4 linked regions of the Arabidopsis thaliana genome follow. The protein of the gene in region 2 interacts with the protein of the main gene of each other region in a pairwise test. Each region holds a gene or a part of one and is shown on either strand. Other genes may lie near its edges.

Region 1 (4,625 bases), on a different chromosome or scaffold from region 2:
TGGAGTCAAAAAGAAAAGAAAACAAAATCCATGAATGATCAGTTATATTTTAATAGAATAATATATAAAGTAATAATTTTGTTGGAGTAATATGTTGTAACATTAGTGAAAATTACTATTTTTGTCATGGGTTTATATGTTTTTGGTAAAAGAATTTCTTGAATTAATTTTTAAAAAAATACAAAAAAAAAGGAATGGTTGCATGGAAAATGTTTTAGTCTTTTAGATATGTTACACGGCTTAGAAGCTTAGTAGGCCGAGGCCCAGTCCATAATAATTTAATGGCTCAATGGAATATGTGGTGAAACCCATGAGAACCGGGTAGATCCGGATCGTAGAAAACCAAAGAATTGATTGAATGGAACCTCTCAAGTCTTATAAGCCTTCTTCTTTTTTTTTTTTGCCGGCAGAACCTTTTAAAGTTTAATGATACTCAATCGATCGAATCACGTTGTTCTCCGGAAATGATAATCTACTTATCTAAGTATGAGTATCGAATAATTGCGCCTGCTAAGGAAAGTGGATTTTAGTCTAAAACTAGTTAATGGAATAAAGTTAGCATCTTTTTAAGGCAGACAATACGGGTCACACTATACAAATATTTAATACCTCAAAGCTAAAAATCATTATATCATCAGTCACTAATAGTTTTCCTTTTGATAAACCAAAAATTTCAGCAAGGAACGGTAACGGATGTGTTCCTCCTACAAAATAAAAGGAATAGTGGAATACAAGAGAGTTCAAAAAAAAAAAAACAGGTCCCTAGAATCTTGTATCCCGAATCATGCCTTTCATTATATCAATCTGCAAATCAGATAAGAAAAATTATGAGATCATGATACTTATTTCTAAATATATACTAAAAATGAGTGATTTGATCTTAAATCTTAATCATGTGAAGATTAGGCAAGTAAGTATAGACTTACGCATGGAGTTTCTACAAAGGGAGAGGAGAACAACAAGAATTGCGAATCCAGCAATGACTCCTACGATGATCGCGATTGATTTCCCCACGTGATCTCCATTCGTTGGATCTTAATAACGAAAATTAGATCAAATTTAAAAAGATCTTAATATTGTATGTGACAAATTAAAGTACATAAGATAAGGACAATATAGTATCAAGCTAAGAATTAGATTTTCTAAGATGCAATGACTTTTGGACTATGTGATATTGATCAAGCTATAAAGAATATATAAAATAAAGTTGAAAATGGGGACATGGGTGGCTATGCCTATAAAGAAAAGAATAATATATTGCAAAAACATTCTTTTCTGACCAATGATATTATAATCATGATACTCGAATTTTCCAACGAATGATTCAAAAGATTAATTCTATTTTATTCAATACTTAATGGTGTCTTTCCAGTGGAAATTACAAAAAAAAAAAAGCAACGAAAATTTTATGATTTCTTCAACTTTCTCGTGCTACCAAGGAGCGACTAGACTTGTGATTTTCTCAATTATAAGCGGCGGAAATTTAAATTTTGTCAAATTCTCACACATTTCTATACAGTTCATTACTACAATTTTCAATTATATTATCATGGCACTAAGCATGATTCACGAATATAATTAAAGAACTTACGTAAATTAGAGCAATAGCTAATAAATGAAATAAAGATTTTAATTTATGGACTGACCTGAAGAGAAGTCATAGTAACCAGAGCCCCAATAACGAGCATAGCACTGAGCCAAGTAAACCTCAGCTGCAACCGCCGAGCCACAAAGATTCTTTAATTTTCCGACAGACTCGGCAAGACAAGCCGTACAGTCACTAGGACTCAAGTCACCAACACACTGAGCATAACCTTCGACTAAACCGGACCGGCTAACTTTGTAACCGAGTTGAGTCGACTCAAGATCCGACAACACATCGTCTCTCCGCTTAAAGAAATCGTAGTCATTCTCAACGCTCTTGGAACTACACTTCTTGTACCTAAGACTTGTGTCTGGTTTCCCTAGAAAATCGTTTGTTTCGTAACGTAAGAAGCAGCCTTCGAGCTGGAGAGAAGCGCCGTAAGAGTAAGGACAAATGAGAGTGATTTGATCGACTGAGGTTTGGATGCATTTTGAGCAGTCTGATGATCGGAGATCGTCACGGCATTGATAGAGGCCGAAGACGGCGGAAGAGGATGAGGAGGAGGAGGAGTCGTTGCCGACGGCAAAGCTGTTGAAGGACGCGTCAGAGGAGGAAGTGACGACAGAGGAGAGGAAAGTGTCGCGGTTTGACTCAAAAGGTGTGTTTGGTGTGTATTTTTCCGGTGAACATCCTCCGTAGATGAAGATGTGAGATTCTGATGAAGATCTTGAGGAGGAGGATGAGTAAAAGAATAAAAAGAGGAGAGAGAAGAGAAAGAGTCTTCTCATATTTTCTTGTTCTTTGAGATTGTTTTCAAAGGAGCTTTCGTTTTTGATCTATCTTATTCCTTGTAGTGTTTTATTTAACAATAATAATCGAGAATGATTATTCATCACTATGGGTCCGAAACTTTTATCGGCGACATTAATACAAACATGTATAATGCATACCGTAGTTAAGAAATAAGTGGATATATATAAATGTAGCTAGGATGAATACAAAACTACATAATAGATCAACAAACGTGGTCTAGAACATTCACTTGTAACGAATCAATACCAAAGTGTAGACAAATTGGATGATAACATTATTGTTTTGTTAAGAGTGCCTAAAATGATTTAGACATGATTAAAGAAGATTTGGTTTTGTGGGTATAATAATATCTTGAAACTTCTTTTGTGCAAAGAGGGTCCCATTTTAGGCATGTCCTTTTGATTAGTATATGTTCGCTAGATCGATTCCATCACACATATTCTCATCAAGTTAGTGGAGAATTTTCAAGTGATAGAAACAACTTTCTTTAAATCCTGACCACGACCAAAAGGGCTAATTAGATTGATCATAAGAGATTTAAAGAAAACGACGACTAAAGTGCTTAGCTTCATCAAATGTATAACCTAGGCGAAATTTCGATGCTTCTCGACCTATCTTCACCTCTACAAAAGAGTAATTTTGAAAGGTGAGAATTTTCTCAAGGACGCTGCTAGACTCGTCTTCTTCTTCATCATCTAACCATAGAGTGAGCTTCAGAAGTGTTGCATTCTCTAAGATGTAGTTAGCAACCTCGGTTTCAGCTTTTCGGCTTTTCTCTTGGTCAGCCTTGGGCGTCATTTTTATTTTGACATTCTCAATGGATGTTTGGAGACATTTTGGCACTGGTGAGCTTGCAATTTCCTCCATCTTTGGATAACCATGAAGCTCCTACAAAGGAAAACACCATAAGACATGTATAATATATATAGTCACTCGCTACTCTCAATACCAAGAGAAGGAATCATTACCAAGTCAATAGATTTTAGGTTGGGACTGCTGGAGAGATATATAGGCAACATCTCTGAATAGTCGGTATGGAGAAAAGCGTACAAACGGGTCAAGTTCTTGAATTCAGGCAGTTGTTGCAGTTTTGTGTAAGCATAGGTTCCCTGTCAAGAACCAACACTTGGTAAGAACAAATACATGCATCTAGAGTATGGCCAGAGATGCTAAGATCTGTGACCTCCGAGAACTCAGCAAAAAACTTGTGCAAAGTTTGCGTGTTTGAAAAGTCATCTCCCCATAAAACCGTACATCGATACACATCTTGATAGAAGAAATAACACTTTCCACTCTGAAGTCTTCCAATGGAAAATCTCTGATACGCAGAAACTCTAAGCTAGGAGTGTCAATCACAAGTCCAGATTCTCCATCATCACCCAAGGAGACATCATCATTTTCTCCCTTAAAGATAAATGTCCATAGACTCAAGCTCCTTAACGTCTGAGATCGCACTTTCAAAAAGTCAACTCCAACATCACAAATGCTCAAGACTTGAAGAACAGGAGAGCACGAGATAAGCATCTCTAGAACCACATCACTCGGTGTACTGCGAAACCCTAAATGCATAACCTCAAGGTGAGGTAGATAGAAAGACTCACAACTATCAAAATCATCCAGAATTACATATTCTAACCGCAAGTTTACAAATTTAAGAATCTGTCGAGAAATTAGGTACAAACCAGGAACACTTTGCCAGAGATTTCTCCATCTTGTCGGTAAGACACTTGTCCTAACAGACTCACTCGTGGGAAGATTCAAGAGTATCTCTTGCAGCAACTCATTGGGCAATTGGCTTATCAAATCTTCCATTGGTCCCTAAATTGATCAACAGAACAAAGAGACAAAGACACGGTATTTATTAGCTAAGGTCTAAGAAAACAAATCAAAATTAAACCGCGTTCTGCAACATGAGTCGTAGAAATTTCTAGACCAGTTAACACGAAATCGCATTCATAGAAAGCAAATTAAGTTGAGATCAAGTTCACAATCAACGTACGAGCAGAGCACTCTCAGATATTTCCAAAACCTAATAAACCAAAAAATTTGAGACGAGTTTATGGAAAGAAGGGTTTTGGTTTCACGTTAAAAAAGTATCTTATCTTCTAAAGACTCTGGTCTAAAGAGAGTGTTTCTACTTTTTTTACAATAACGAGCTTTCGAGACATGACTAGGGTATACGTATATCACAATTATTATGTATGAGGTTAATTTCTATTTTTCGTTA
Region 2 (4,322 bases):
CTCACCCAGGAAATAGCTTATTAGCATTATCACTGAATTAGATGTAAGTACACATCACATTACTCAACACCTACATGAGAAAGGATCCTAAAATACTCGCGAAGAAGTATATTCGAACACTAGCCTTCTCGATAGTGACAGACAAGAATACGAATCTAAGAGGCGAGAAGAGAACGAAGATAGAAGACAAACCTGATAGACATAAGGCTGAAATGGAGTAGAGAAAAACGGAGCAGCCATGGCGGTGAAAACCGCAGAAAGATCTTCCAAACAAAAACCTCCGAATCCAAATTTCCACAGAACCAATTGGATTAGAAAACCTTTCACGTCGATGCGAGACGATCAGATCGCAGATCCAAATAACACACTCGAAACACTCTGAGCTCTCTCAAAACTCCGGTCGAAATGTTCGCGGTGGATGTCACCGACGGGAACCCAACAAAACGACAGATTAAATTCGCTTAAATCGGCCTGAAGCTGCACGTGGAATCTGTTTACGTGGAGAGATCTCATTGGTCACAAAATACACATCGACGTAAAATTTCATTTCCGGTTTAATATAATTACATTTCTTCTCAACCAACCCTCTTTCACTAGATTTATTTGGTACAAAATTTCTTATTCAATAGCCGGTTTAAAGACATTGGTACAACAATTACAAATCTTGTCGACCACTAGAGACATCTACAGAACTCACAAAACCTTTACTAAGCAACCATCCCACGCAACCTTTACTCTTCCATTGTTGTGTGTGAATAATCAGAAAGGAACCAAGTAGCTTCATCTATTAATAAGAAACTTAGATAGTTTCCCAAATAACTTAACAACACAAAACAATTTAAGAGCCTGTTTTCATCACCAATAACTTCAAGTGGAGACAGATGACAGATCTATCATCTATCTCTATCCATCTCTATACAAAGACCGGCAAAACTTAATAAAATCACTACACATTGGCTCATCCACCAGATGAATCCAATAGAAATGCAGTCTGAGTTCAACTACTACTACACGCATTGTATTTCCTCATCATCTCTACACTATCAGCTATTGTAGACCCTGGAGTACCAACAAAACCCAGTGAAGCACAGCTACAAACAGCTTCCTCTATGTAAAGCTGCACATTGGATCCTCCATGAGGGTAACAATGGGTCTGCATCTTTTTTATACTATCAAGACTCATCGGAATAGACCCAAATTTCTGGCCGTGACTCGCTGAATCAAGTTCATGCTCTGTTCGCGCTAAGAATTCATCTTGTTCCCCTATAAAGTGGAGCTTGAAATTTGTAGAGTTCTTAGACAAATCACCCAAGTAAGTTCCGGTCCAGTTAAATTCAGGAAGGTCTGTCATTACAAACACATTAATTAGACCAGGATTCTTAACGCTCAAAGCTTCCAACTTCTGATATAAACCCGTAAAAGTGCTCTCCCGATGATTCTTGAACTGGCCATCTAGTAATCTAAGTTGTGCACAAAGAAACGGCGCCTTTATGGTTTCTGAAGCAAATTTCTTTCCCGCGATCATTATCTCTCGAACAAAAGGAAGGAAATCGACCTTCTCAACCAAAGATTTTATCTTTGGAGATTTATGGATATCGATATACAGCTCTGAGCCTTTGTATGGAGCTGTGAAGAGGCTCCCAAATGCTAGAATAGCTGCAGACTCAGCTTCTGTACCATGTCCAAGAGTCTTATACACATCTCTTCGCCTTCTCACGTTGGACAATTTCTTTTTCTTCTTGAGCTTCTCATCAGGCTGGAACGAATCTAATCTCCCATCAGCTTCTCCATTTTTATAAGTCCAAACAGTGGTTCTACAATCTTCATCCACAGCATACAAACATTTATCTACATTACCACGAACTCCAGATAACAAATAGCCACACTGTTTCAGTGACTCATAAGCCTGAGACTGTTCAGCTAAATCATCAGTGCATAGAGTCTCCAAGTCAACACCACACTGTAGTGATGCAAAGTACCTAAAATCAATGACTCGAACAGCCGAAGAAGATACCAGCGACGAAATGTCTACAATATCAGCCATCGAAACGTACCTATAAACACCAACATTTGTCACCCACATTGATCAAATTACTAAAACTCATTACGAAAAAAAAAAGAGATTTTGTACCTGTCAGTCTTAAGAAGCTCAATTGAATGATTCCAAACTGAGATTCGTATCTCGCTGGGACTCAAAACCCTAAATTTAGGACAACTACCGAGAGCAACGGCGTGATGATCCAGAATCGGAGGAATAATTAGGGTCCGATTAAGAATTCCCGCCATAAGAAGCGCATTCTTAAATTCCGATAGCTGATTACTGAATCCACTGTGAGGAGCGTACCAGAGAAACTTCTGACCTAGAAGAGTTCGGGTTAGTATCTCGGATCTGCACTGAGGGAATTGAACGGATCCAGAAAATGCAGAGATTGAGAACAAGGACTTGGGCATCTCGGAGTAAGTGATGAAGAAGACGACGATGAAGAACACAACAAGTATAGAAACGGAGCAAAGAAATATCGCAGATTTGTCGGTTTGCTTCTTCCTGTTTGGCCATGGACGTGGGCTTGGTCTACTGGGATTGAAGAAGTTGTTCATGTTTTTTGCTCTGAGGTTTTAGTCGCCATCATTGCGTTGCGTCTAGTTTTGCTCATGTGTAGAAGATGCCAAAACGGTGAGTGTCACTGTTTTGGGCCTAACTAATATTCTCTGATGGGCCTTAACTAAAATAATACGAACTTAAACATAGTTAATTTTAGAAATCTTTTTGTAACATAATCTATACGAAGCTATTTGCGCGTCCACATAACATTTTAAACAAGCAATGGAGATTAGATATCTTGCTAATTAATATTTATGAACTTATTTTTATTTTTATTCTTTTTAAATTTTTGTAAAATAAAATAAAAAATATATGAAAATAAAAGAATATTTAAAAATATAAAAAATTTCTAAATATTTTGTCACCAAAATAATATTAAAAATATCAAAATGTAAATTTCTATTTTATTAAATTTATACACAAAAATAAATTTAGGTCTTTGGACCTAACTAATAATATTCTTTGATGGCCTAGAGAAATCGAATTCACTAGATGATCTAATATTTGTTGATTTTTAGTCCAAAATCGAATTCACTAGAGAAATTAACCTATTTAGCACTTACATGAATATATTGATCATCATTGATAGACTTAAGCAGTTGTAGTCTTTTAAGCTTTTTACGGGTTCTTTTTTTTCTCTTCTTTTCTTTAAGATCTCTTTATTTATATGTCTAAATCTAAACGTAATTTTCTGGATTTATTGTTAACATATATTAATCCCCATATCAGAAGGATGATAATTGATGTTGATATATCAGGATATAAAATAATTAACTAATGATTTATTTTAGCCAACAAAATATAACATACTTTTAACAAATCGTGATCGAATAACAATAAATTCTAAATAACACTTTAAAACACTAAAAGTCTTTTGAAATCATAAACCAATAACACCCCATGAATAAAAACATAATTAGAAACTTACGCATGCATCAGCTTCCGTAAATCTCCTACATCTCTCTCTCTCCTCTCTGCTTTTTACCTTCTAGGGTTTTTGATCATCTCTCAGGTGAATACGTTTTGGTATAATCTCATACCAATGTCTGCGAATTCCAAGTCGGAGAGGTCTGCTTCTCAATCGGCGGAGACGGTGGCTGTTTCTAACCGTGTCGTGGCGTCACGGTCAAGTCGTCAGCCGCGTCTCTCTTTCTCCTCCTTTGCTCCCTCATCAGAGCACGATAACCTGAAGAAGCTGAAATCCGATGAGATTTCTCCCGCGAGAGAGGAAGTGCCGGTGTCGGTGAAGGAGAGAGAAGAAACGGAGGAGGAGGAAGCGAAGAGGACGTGGAATCTTCGTCCGAGGAAGGCTTATGGTGGTTCGAAGAAAGGAAACGGCGTGTTCACGGCGGAGGTTTGCGGTGGCGGCGGAGGAGGAGGTTCGGAGGTGAAGAATCAGAAATCAGGCGCAGGAATTGAGCCGAAATCGAACAGGCAGAGAGGAATCCCGGCGGAATCACCCGGATTAGGCGGTGGTGAGGTTGCAAACGAGAATCATAGGCTTTGGGTTGCTCTAGCTCGAGACGAGATCGAAGAAGATTTGTTCAGCATGAGTGGGAACAGGTCATCTCGCCGGCCAAGGAAGAGGGCAAAAGCTATGCAGAAACATCTCGATGTAAGTCACCAGGTGTTCGACGAATTGCCTCACAGAGAATTCAAAACAATGACTACGTTTTTTTAGTGTCTCCATTTTCTTAGGCAATTCAATGTCTGCCATTGT
Region 3 (4,362 bases), on a different chromosome or scaffold from region 2:
GGACCACCCTTCGGCGTAGCAGAGCCAACAGGGCTTCCGAATTCAGCAACCTCTGTATCACATAGCCTTCTCTCAATATTTACAGCAGTTGGGATACTAATGCCACTGCTCAGGGAAAATTATCTTTAAACAGACAATAGTTTCAGGGTTTCAATCATTCTCTGCAAATTATGAAGCGCGTTTTCCATAACTATGATGCGATCTATGGAGCTCAAGAAAGCAGCTGTGATTTGCAAGAAGATTTTAATCCATGACCTAATTCTCACCATCTGTTCTATTGCTATAGTTTATCACTGAAAGTATATTTATTTAGTAGGAGATACTACAAAATCAAAGGGCTTAGGATATATACATTCTTGTAGACACATTAAGCATAATGTATCTCTTTACAGTTTTAGAAAATAAAATACTTAGGGAACGGTTAAGAAATACAAAAGCAATGTCAGACATTATTAACTATTAGAAAGATATAACAGAAAATAAAATGAAAGCTACTTGAAGCAGATACATACCTGCAGCACTCTAAAACAAGTAGGCACACCGAAAATGACAGACAAGCTCCATGATACCTGCAGCATTTCCAAACAGTTTCTAAAAGGATGACAATATCTTTAATATGCTCTTTTCAGCTCATAATCTTATAAGCTGAAATTTTTGATCTGGTTCCTTGTGGAATCATATGCGGCTAAAGATCAATCTGTTAGCAACGAATAGTAGCAAATACAAGCATCTCATAAAGAGCGGATAAATGCAAGCACGTTGAATTGAGTATTGAAATCGAGTAAATAATACAGCACATTATTTCTAGTCTCTGTATACACTTTGTTACAGTGATTTACAGATGAGTCCTTTTGTCAGGAGCATATTTATATCAAGAAAAGGAACGATACAACTGTGACACCAATTATGGCTACAGTGGCAAGAACTGAATTCTGATCAAATGCTTTCTGCAAGGTGCCTGCTCTTGAGAAATGCTGGAAAGCCAGAAAACAAGAGATTGCTAAAGAAAGGATAGCACCTTCCTGTTTCCCTCTGCAAGCGTATAAATTCAATGAGTCTTGACTAAAGAAAATAAAACCTTGATCTGAAACATTACACTCTTTTTGAGAATCTAACCTTATGCTCATAACTTGATATGGCGCCACAATCACCAAAAGCAAAGCAATGAAGGGCAGCTCAAGTTCAACTATAAACAAGGCATTGTATAAGAATTAAAAACATACAAAGGCAGGCACACTCTTATTTAACATGAAGATCTGATAAAACATGCGTGATTCCTTTCAGCATGTCTTAGTAATGGAAATTTTAGCCCCTGACGTCGAAAATTAGCATGAGTTTCATTCCAATTTCTTTTCTAGTAAATGGCAACTGAACTAAAAAAAATCCAACACTAGAATTCAACAACCTATAACCCAACCTACTTGAAGACGAATACGAACCTGGAAAAGAGAAGAACAGTCGAGTAAGAAGCGCCAAGAATGCTGCCCAGATGCCATATTCACCCCTGCAAGTTAGATGCAAAAGTGTGATGAATTCAAGACGCAGAGTATGAAAATTTCTGTCATCCAGAATAGCAAAAAAAGGAATAAAATCCACAAGCATAGGTAAATGAGCATTAAAAAAAGCTTACTTCATCCAGGAGACAATGCCCATTGGTGCTTGTAGTGCGAATAGTGGAACAACAAAGGACTTATGGATACCAGTACCCCTTGCAAACATCAATGCACTAGAAAAGAAACAACATTCAGTATAGAAATGAACTTATATGCTGCTGACATTATGAATCAGTGGAAATTATACAATTATCTATCACAAATCACTTTCACACATGAATTGAAGCTAAACTATTTCCCTGTACAATCATTTGCTATTATCCGATTAAGCTAAACTTGTAAGAAACTTCATACATTAGCATATCTTCAGCAGCATTCTGCGTTAAAATTCACAGCTAATGAGAGTGAGAGATCATACACGCAAGAAATTGTCGAGATCCATTGTAGATTATGAACAGACAACATTGGAGTAGCATAACAGACCACACTCGATCCTCTCTTTCGCCGCTTCTCAGCCCTCGCCGACACCGTAGCGGTTCGCTGACGATCAGCCGATAACCTACCAACCAACATTCATTTAGAAAAAGCCAAAATCCACTGATTGAGAATTTATGAATCGGGTGTTTCTGTGTCACTATACCTTAACGGATTGAAGCAAACAACACTAGTACTGTGACCTAGACCGGAGATATTTGAAGGACGAGGCCGGAGTTTAAGAGCGAGAAAGGGTTTCTGGTGGTGAAGAGAAACGATCCGGGACGATGAGAGACAGAGACTCGCCATGAATTGTTAAGATTAGTTACGGTGGTGGAAAGATCACTCCGTCATCTTTCCGTTAAAATTGAATCATTTGCATCAATATCATGATCGCTACGTGGACGGTGTAGATTTAGCGGGAATGCTTTTAAAGTGGGGCCCATAAATACGTGTTTGGAAAACGACAGTCGTTTAGTTCACAATCAATCAAAGAATCTTGAATCTCCACCGTTGTTGGCATCAATACGACTGCAAATCTAACCACGTAGGATTCCACGTCAGCTTTTAAATATCCCAATCCCATGTCGACCAAAGATTTTAAATGTGTATTGTTTTTACGTTTGTACATGAAAGATCATTTTTATTGCCAGCGAATAGTTGCCAAAAATGTACCAGCATTTCTTAAAGAGCGGATAAATGCAAGCACATCTTTCTTTTTTTTCCTTCACACACATTCTTACACTGATTAACATTTTTGGTCAGGAGCATATAGTTATAGCAACAAAAGGAGCGATACAACTGTGACACCAATAATGGCTACAGTGGCAAGAACTGAACCCTTCTCATATGCTTTCTCCAAGCTCCCTGCTCGTGAGAAATGTTGGAAAGCCAGAAAACCAGATATTGCTATTGCTATGATTGCCCCTTCTTGCTTCCCTCTGCAAGTTTATAATGAAGTCAATGAGTCTCGGCGACTAAAGAAAAGAAAACCTTGATATATATTAAAACATTACATTCTTTAAGATTCTAACCTTATGTTCATGACTTGATATGGCGCCACAATCACCAAGAGTAATGCGATGAATGGAAGCTCAAGTTCACCTATTAATGTATAACTTTAATTAATTAATAACTTGTAATCAACCTACATATTGAAGATGATTACGAACCTGGAAAAGTGAAGAAAAGTCGAGCAATAAGCGCCAAGAATGCTGCCCATACACCATACTCTCCCCTACAAAAATAAAGATACACAAGTTTAAGTTTAATGACTTCAATAGGCTGCTCAAGCATGCAAAAAGAAGAAGAGAGACCCATATATATCACCATGTTAATGAATATATCTCCATGTTAAAAGCTTACTTAATCCAGGCGACGATGCTCGATGGTGCGTGGAGAGCGAATAGTGGAACAACAACTGACTTATGTATACCAGTACCCCTTGCAAGCATCAATGCACTAGAAATGAAACACCATTCAGTATAGCAATTAACTTATGTTATTGACGTTATGATGAAAACAGAGGAAATTACACAATCATCATTAGCATAATTTCACCAGCATTATGTGTTAAGAAAATCACAGTAAATGAGAGAGATCATACAGGCAAGAAATGGTGGAGATCCATTGTAGACTATTGGCAGAAATCGGAGCAGCATAACAGACCACACTCGATCCTCTCTTTCGCCGCTTCTCCACCCTCGTTGATACCGTAGCGGTTCGCTGACGATCACCCGATAACCTAGAAACATTACAAACAAAAAGAGTTACACAAAATGCATGACTCGAAAGAATCCCAAATCCATTGTTTTCACTATACGGTACCTAAGCGGATTGAAGCAAACAGGACTCGTGTGGCGACCTAGACCGGAGAGATCTGAAGGACGAGACCGGAGTTTAAGAGAGAGGAATGGTTTCTGGTGGTGAAGAGAAACGATCCGGGACGATGAGAGACAGAGACTCGCCATGAAATTGTTTAGATTTAGTCACAGTGGTGGAAAGATTGACGGAGTGATCTTTCTGTTAAACGACTATATCACTGCATGAATATATGATCGTTACGTGGACGTGTTGATTTCGTGCTTTAGAGTGGAGCCGAGTTACACGTGATTGGAAAACGAGAGTCGCTCACTATCAATCAAAGAATCTTTGAATCTCCACCGTTGGAATCAACTCCAATTCAAATCCACCCCACTTAGGATACCACGTCAGCTTTACCATATCTAATTCATTGGAACATGACAAAATTTCATGTCGATCATAGATAATTTCACTAGTTTTTTTATTTATATATATTGCAAGTCTTATCATAAAATAATTGTAAAGCTTAACG
Region 4 (5,973 bases), on a different chromosome or scaffold from region 2:
TCCGGACGTGGATCTCGTGACATCGACTAATCAAACCGGATAAATAAACGTGTATGTCTCTTGCTTAATTGAGAGATTAAGATATTTGAGGAGTATCTCAAGGTTTTATCAACAAAGAAACGTAACACTATTCTTTTGATCACGATAGGGTTTCTTTTTTTGGCGTTACTCTATATAGCTTATTTTCCCAAAAACACTCAAAACGACGACGTTTAGCAAGACATATATTATCCAATAAGTTTTAAAAGTCTAAATCAAAAGCTTTCGTTTCACAAAAACCTCTCTCTTTTTTTCTCTCTCTCTCTCTGTCTCTGAATCTTCCATTGATGTTTAGGTATGTCTCAGTTTCTCAGATTCTCATGCTTTGTCTTCTTTCGCGCGTCATACGACTCTTTCTTTTCACTCAATGTCTCTTTGGTAACTATGCACACCAAATGTTCGATTAAATGCCGCTTACAGACCCCACTTGAGTTATTCTGTTAGCATCACAGATTTTTTTGTTTTCTTAGACCTCTTAAGAACGGAGAAATTTCATGGAAGCCAAAGTTGGTTTGATCATACGATACATTCCAGATTTCTAATCAAATCCTTTTATAAAAATCTGCTTTTGATCATGTTAAAGCCAAAGGGTTTTACATAGCTAGAGAGCTACATGTATATAGAAATCGTTTGAATGTCACGAGCTGCATAAATTCCTGTTCTTTACATCATCAAAGCTTCTATTACCATCAAAATTATAATTTACATGGAAATGATGGTTAACATATGCAATTGACAAGAAAAATATGTGTATATTTACTTATGCAGATATTTGAATCTGGTCACAATGATGAATGTAGGGAAGGAAGGCACACACACAGTTACGTCTCTTCTTCTTCTTCAGGTTCTTCTCTGTTATTTTGGTTTTTCTCCGCTTCTATATTCTTTAGCCAGTCTACAACTTGTTGAATGTTTGGTCTTTTCATTGGATTTTGGTTCACACACATGCAGGCTATGTCAAGCACACGAAGCATCGCTTCTTCATTTCCACTTTCTCTCAGCAATGTATCAAACACTTCCTCTGGTTTCCCATCTCTTTTCATAGTATGCACCCATGCGACCAATTCTCTTGACATCTTTGGCCTGAAAACCTCCATTGGTCTTTTCCCTGTGAGAAGCTCGAGCATGACTACACCAAAACTGTACACGTCACCTCTCAAAGTGGCTACCCAAGCTTGTCCATACTCTGGGGGAATGTAACCCAATGTGCCCACTAGCTCAGTTGTTACATGGGTGCGATATGGAAGGATCAATCTTGACAACCCGAAATCTGCTACATATGCCTTGAAATTTCCATCCAAAAGGATGTTGCTGGACTTGATGTCTCGGTGTACTATGTGTGGTTCACATATCTGGTGCATGTATGCTAGTCCACTACTTGCTCCTCTCATAATGTTGAGTCTTTTTGGCCAATCCAGCTGAGCTGGACCCTCAGGATTTTCGTGCAGCCAATAATCCAGACTACCATTCTCCATGAACGAGTAAATTAGTATCCGGGCACTATCATGGACGCAATAACCTTGTAGAGCGACCAGGTTCTCATGTTTCGCCCTGGACAGAACTTCTACCTCTGCCTTGAATTCCTTTTCCATCATACCATAGTCTCCTGTGAGTTTCTTAACCGCCAGTTTCGTTCCATTATCCAAGGTAGCCTTATAGACAAGGCCAAACCCGCCGCAGCCAATTATATTAGCTTGACTGAAGTTGTCGGTAGCTTTCAAGAGCTCAAATATGGTCAGGTCTTTTACTTCATATCTACTGTTTCCAAACAACAGTACAAGACTTATGTCTTTATCCGACCCTGGAGGGACTTCAGAATACGAGCCATTGGAATTTATCTCCAGTTCAGCATTCTCAGAGTCTCCTGGATTTACTCTCCTTTTAGAAAGCACCAACAGAGCTAGCAGCACCAAAATCAAACTGACGCCAAAAAAAAGCCCAAGGACAAGCCCCAAAACAAGCGTTCTGTTGACCTTTCCTTTACCCATCTTTGTAGTAGAGTGCTGAGTTGGATCGCAGGAGGTTAGCAGTACACCACCGCACAGCAAGGGGTTTCCTTCAAAATTTGCTTTTGGGAAGGTATCAAACTGGGTCCCTGTGGGTATCGGCCCACTGAGAGTGTTGTTTGCAACATTGAAATATGACAGGAAATGGAGTCCAGTGAGTGACCATGGAATTCTACCGGAGAGATTGTTGTTGGACAGGTCCAGCCTCTCTAAGTTAGTGAGGTTTGACAATTCATCTGGGATGCTGCCAGAAAAATTATTACCTAGAAGCTCCAGGATATGGAGAACCTTTAGCTGCCCAACCTCGACTGGTATAGTCCCAGTCAAGTTGTTCCTCTTGATGTATATCGTAGGTGGGAGGCTGGAAAGCTGATTGTATTGCTGATTAGTGGTGACATTATTGGGATTGACAAAAACCGGCAGCTCCAGATAGTTCCGCTCTGTTGCATCGTATGCCTTTTGCGACATCAGAGCTCTCAGCTGAAACAGTTCCTTTGGAAGCTCTCCTGTTAGAAAGTTATCGGAAAGATCCAAGTAGAAAAGGTCTGGAAGAGTTCCTAGCCAACCAGGAATTGTCCCCACGAATCGGTTCATGGACAGGTCCATAACTTCTACCCTCTGGAGCTTGATCAGCCAAGCTGGTATTTCACCTGTCAATCTGCACGCACCGATACCAAAAATTTGGAGGCTTGGAAATCCATCTGACCGAAGAAAGTCTTTGTTGCTTGGTACCGTTTCGTCGTAAAAATTCTTTGCCATAATGAGAGTAGAAAGCTTCTTGCAGCCTTGTAGAATGCTGAGAGCCCCTGTAAGGTTCGTCATTTTATTGTCTGAAAAAGTAAAGAACGACAGGGATTCCAATTCCAGTACTTGAGGAGATATCTGTCCCGTTAACTTGTTGCCTGCAAACCTCATTGCTGTCATCATTTTGCATGAGTAAACCGTGGAGGGAAATTCGCCGGTGAAGCTATTGTTTCCGAGGTCCAGAATGCTGAGGCTCTGAAACCGGGAAAAGTCTATCGCCGATAAAGTTCCTCCCAGCTGATTAACCCGTAAATTCAACTTCACGAGTTTTGTGCAATTGGCGAGAGAAACCGGGATAGAACCCATGAGGTTATTGACATGGAGTTGGAGGCTACTCAGTTTCGAAAGCTTACCTATATCCTTGGGTATTTCTCCTTCGATGTGATTAGAGTAAAGCTCAAGCAATGTCAGTTTGGTGAGACGAGTAATCCCATTATCAATTTTGCCAGAAAGACGGTTGACTGGTAAAAAGAGTTGCTCGAGCTCAGGAAGATTGTAGATTTCTTTGGGGATTTCACCAGAGAGATTGTTGAAGCCTGCTCGAAGAACACTTAGCCTCGAGCATCTGCTTAATTCTTGAGAGAGATCACCGCTGAAATCATTGTAGGAGAAATCCAGTTTGGTGAGCTGCGGCGAAGCTGTGCACATGAAGGAAGGGATAGAACCCGTGAAGCTGTTGTTGCTGACATTGAAACTGGTTAAATTGAAAGCACCCTGAAGAAAAACAGAACTACTGAGAATTTCTCCCTCAAGAAGATTGCTGGAGAGATCAACGGTCTGAATTGGGAAGATTCCGTTGCTTCCATTGCCAAATGATTGTTGAAGTGGCAATTCACCTTTGAAACTGTTGTAACTAAGATCAAGAACCAAGAGCTGATCAAGGGCAGAGAGGAAACCAGGTGGGAGTGGACCAGAGAGACGGTTATGAGAAAGGTCGAGACGAGAGAGACGCTGGAGATCCAAAACAGACGACGGAAGATTGCCAGAGAGTCCTCTAGAGGACAAAATAATCGAAGTAACACGATTTTCAGGAGACTTATCACAAGAGATTCCTTCCCAGGAGCAACAATCAATGGACGAATTCCAATGCAAAGGAGAGACTGGAGATGATACGTTGCCAGAGAACCAAAGGAGAGAATCTCGATCCTGAAGATTACAAACAGCCTCTGAAACTGTAAGAAAGAAGACAGAAATGGAAAGAACGTAGAGAAGGACAAAGAGAACCATGTGAGGACTCAAAGGTTTTACTTGTCTCACAAAAGGACCAATGGATTTAGATCTCATCTTCTCGTCAATCATGGCGAGAACAAAAGAAGAAGAAGAAGAAGCTGAGAAAGATTAAGAAAGCTTGAAAAAGAAGAAGAAGAAGGAGAGGGAAAAGAAGAAACAAAAGACATGATTATCCAATCTGGGTTTCTCTGTCCGAAGCTTGTAAATGGCTCTCAATACCATCGTTGACCAAAGGGAATAGTCAGACCAAACAGAAGAAAACTTCTTGTCACACCCAAAGTTCACTTTTAAATTTTATTTTATTTTATCATGTTATCTTTCTGCCCTGATTGTGGTTGTGGGTATGCTGTTTTTATGTAAAGTTTTTTTTTGATTAAAAAGTTATATATATATATATATATATATATATATATATAAATTATTATTCCTTTTTGTAATAAAAGCTCAAGTACAACTCTCTGAATAGCTCTGGTAATTATTAAAGTCAGCCCTATATATCCTTACTTATATGAACCAATGAAAAATGTTTTACTTATTTCATTTGTCTGGTTTTGTTCTGTCATTTATTCATGATTAAGAAAGATTAAAAAACGTTTTATGTGATTTATTTTGAAATTGGGTCATTTCAATCTTTGGAGGTGGGAGGTGCATGCGTGCGTGCTATGATGTTGATCATGAAATTGAATTTGATCATAAAATAATAATGATGGGTACAAACATTATGATATGAAATCAAAATAAATAAATAAAAAAGAAGAAGTTGAAGAATAGTATTATGATGATTATTTTTTGTGGTAGAGGCGTTTACCTTTTGGGGCGGCTGGTTTAGTAGTAGTGGCTCGTAGTGGTGGTGGTGTTACACAACTTTTTTCTATATCCTCTAAAATTGTAGAATATGTAATTCATCTTTATTTATTTTTGTCCATTTCTTTCTTTACTTTTTTGCCTTATGGAGGATCTTTTTATGTTTAATTATGCCAAGTGGAAGCCACATTTAACATTAGATAGTGGTCATAAAGAACGAAAAGTAGATAAAGAAGATCATATGATAACTATTTTTTTTTTGTAAAGGATACTATTTATTTTGTTTGACTTTTTGATTTCTTAGGGTTATAAAAATCCTTCAAGCTGTTCATGTGTGTGTTTCTTTTCGTAATTTATAATGAGCAAATGGCGTATATGATAGCTAACAAGTTACTTTAAACAATACCGTATTAAATTAACTGTCTTAGACTTTTCAGAAATTGTACTTATTAAATGGCTATAACCCAAAAAAAAACATTAGTATAGATTTTGTGTGATATTATATTTATCACTTTCATACGATTAGAATAAGTCATAAGAAGTTACTTAATTTTAAAACCGAAATTGTGTTTTTGTGAATTATTGACGATCAAAAACAGTTATTTGGAGTGATGTTTTAAAAAGAGAGTTCTTCGAAGTCCAATTAAATAGAATCTATCATGATTAATGCGTTTAATACTTTAACTAGTGTTTAGGAGCAGTAAGTAATGATGGTGTGAATTTGTTTTTCTATCTAAATATTATTTAACATGATAGAGCTTACGAAGACATGGTAAGAATAGTTATCTCTTTAGTGGAATCGAATATAAAGATTTGACATTAAATAATACCGAACAATCTTTTGGAGTTGTGTTGGACCTCCTTTATGTATGCTTTATTTATCTCTCTATCATCTAAAATAAAGAAGGAAATTTAGAATTCTGAGGCTCAGATTGTTGAGAATAAACCGTAAAATAAACTCTTGTGACTTTATACAACGATAATATATTATTAGCTTTTCGATAAAAGACGATCACATCTATTTTAATGTTTTTCCACTGAATTTTTATTATGTTCAATCAAATTTATAGAATCTCTAATAATTTTATTT

What was found.
Region 1: the proteins of AT4G17430 (region 2) and PDLP8 interact in a protein complementation assay, tested with the Arabidopsis thaliana proteins (one large-scale study listed by BioGRID).
Region 3: the proteins of AT4G17430 (region 2) and COR314-TM2 interact in a protein complementation assay, tested with the Arabidopsis thaliana proteins (one large-scale study listed by BioGRID).
Region 4: the proteins of AT4G17430 (region 2) and PSY1R interact in a protein complementation assay, tested with the Arabidopsis thaliana proteins (one large-scale study listed by BioGRID).

The regions. Positions count from the first base shown.
Region 1 is NC_003074.8:22,439,783-22,444,407, reverse strand, and holds PDLP8 (plasmodesmata-located protein 8), read right to left. Parts: upstream 2,638-4,625; 5' UTR 2,374-2,637; coding exon 1,647-2,373; coding exon of another isoform or gene 1,630-1,646; exon of another isoform or gene 1,035-1,629; coding exon 892-1,034; 3' UTR 805-891; coding exon of another isoform or gene 800-804; 3' UTR 534-799; downstream 1-533. Other genes in the region: AT3G60710 (F-box family protein), read right to left, coding at 2,936-3,286, 3,367-3,507, 3,653-3,947, 4,035-4,210. UniProt on the Arabidopsis thaliana protein: Modulates cell-to-cell trafficking.
Region 2 is NC_003075.7:9,724,204-9,728,525, forward strand, and holds AT4G17430 (O-fucosyltransferase family protein), read right to left. Parts: upstream 2,632-4,322; 5' UTR 2,599-2,631; coding exon 2,132-2,598; intron 2,055-2,131; coding exon 998-2,054; 3' UTR 507-997; downstream 1-506. Other genes in the region: AT4G17420 (Tryptophan RNA-binding attenuator protein-like protein), read right to left, coding at 193-240; AT4G17440 (chromogranin (DUF1639)), read left to right, coding at 3,645-4,217.
Region 3 is NC_003070.9:10,285,543-10,289,904, forward strand, and holds COR314-TM2 (cold regulated 314 thylakoid membrane 2), read right to left. Parts: upstream 2,363-4,362; 5' UTR 2,337-2,362; coding exon 2,194-2,336; exon of another isoform or gene 2,127-2,193; coding exon of another isoform or gene 2,113-2,126; coding exon 1,972-2,112; intron 1,727-1,971; coding exon 1,631-1,726; intron 1,505-1,630; coding exon 1,440-1,504; intron 1,187-1,439; coding exon 1,117-1,186; intron 1,033-1,116; coding exon 867-1,032; 3' UTR 525-866; downstream 1-524. Other genes in the region: AT1G29380 (Carbohydrate-binding X8 domain superfamily protein), read left to right, coding at 1-129; COR413IM1 (COLD REGULATED 314 INNER MEMBRANE 1), read right to left, coding at 2,803-2,968, 3,062-3,131, 3,200-3,264, 3,393-3,488, 3,634-3,771, 3,855-3,997.
Region 4 is NC_003070.9:27,216,819-27,222,791, forward strand, and holds PSY1R (Leucine-rich receptor-like protein kinase family protein), read right to left. Parts: upstream 4,448-5,973; 5' UTR 4,149-4,447; coding exon 861-4,148; 3' UTR 550-860; downstream 1-549. UniProt on the Arabidopsis thaliana protein: Tyrosine-sulfated glycopeptide receptor with a serine/threonine-protein kinase activity. Regulates, in response to tyrosine-sulfated glycopeptide binding, a signaling cascade involved in cellular proliferation and plant growth. Not involved in PSK perception.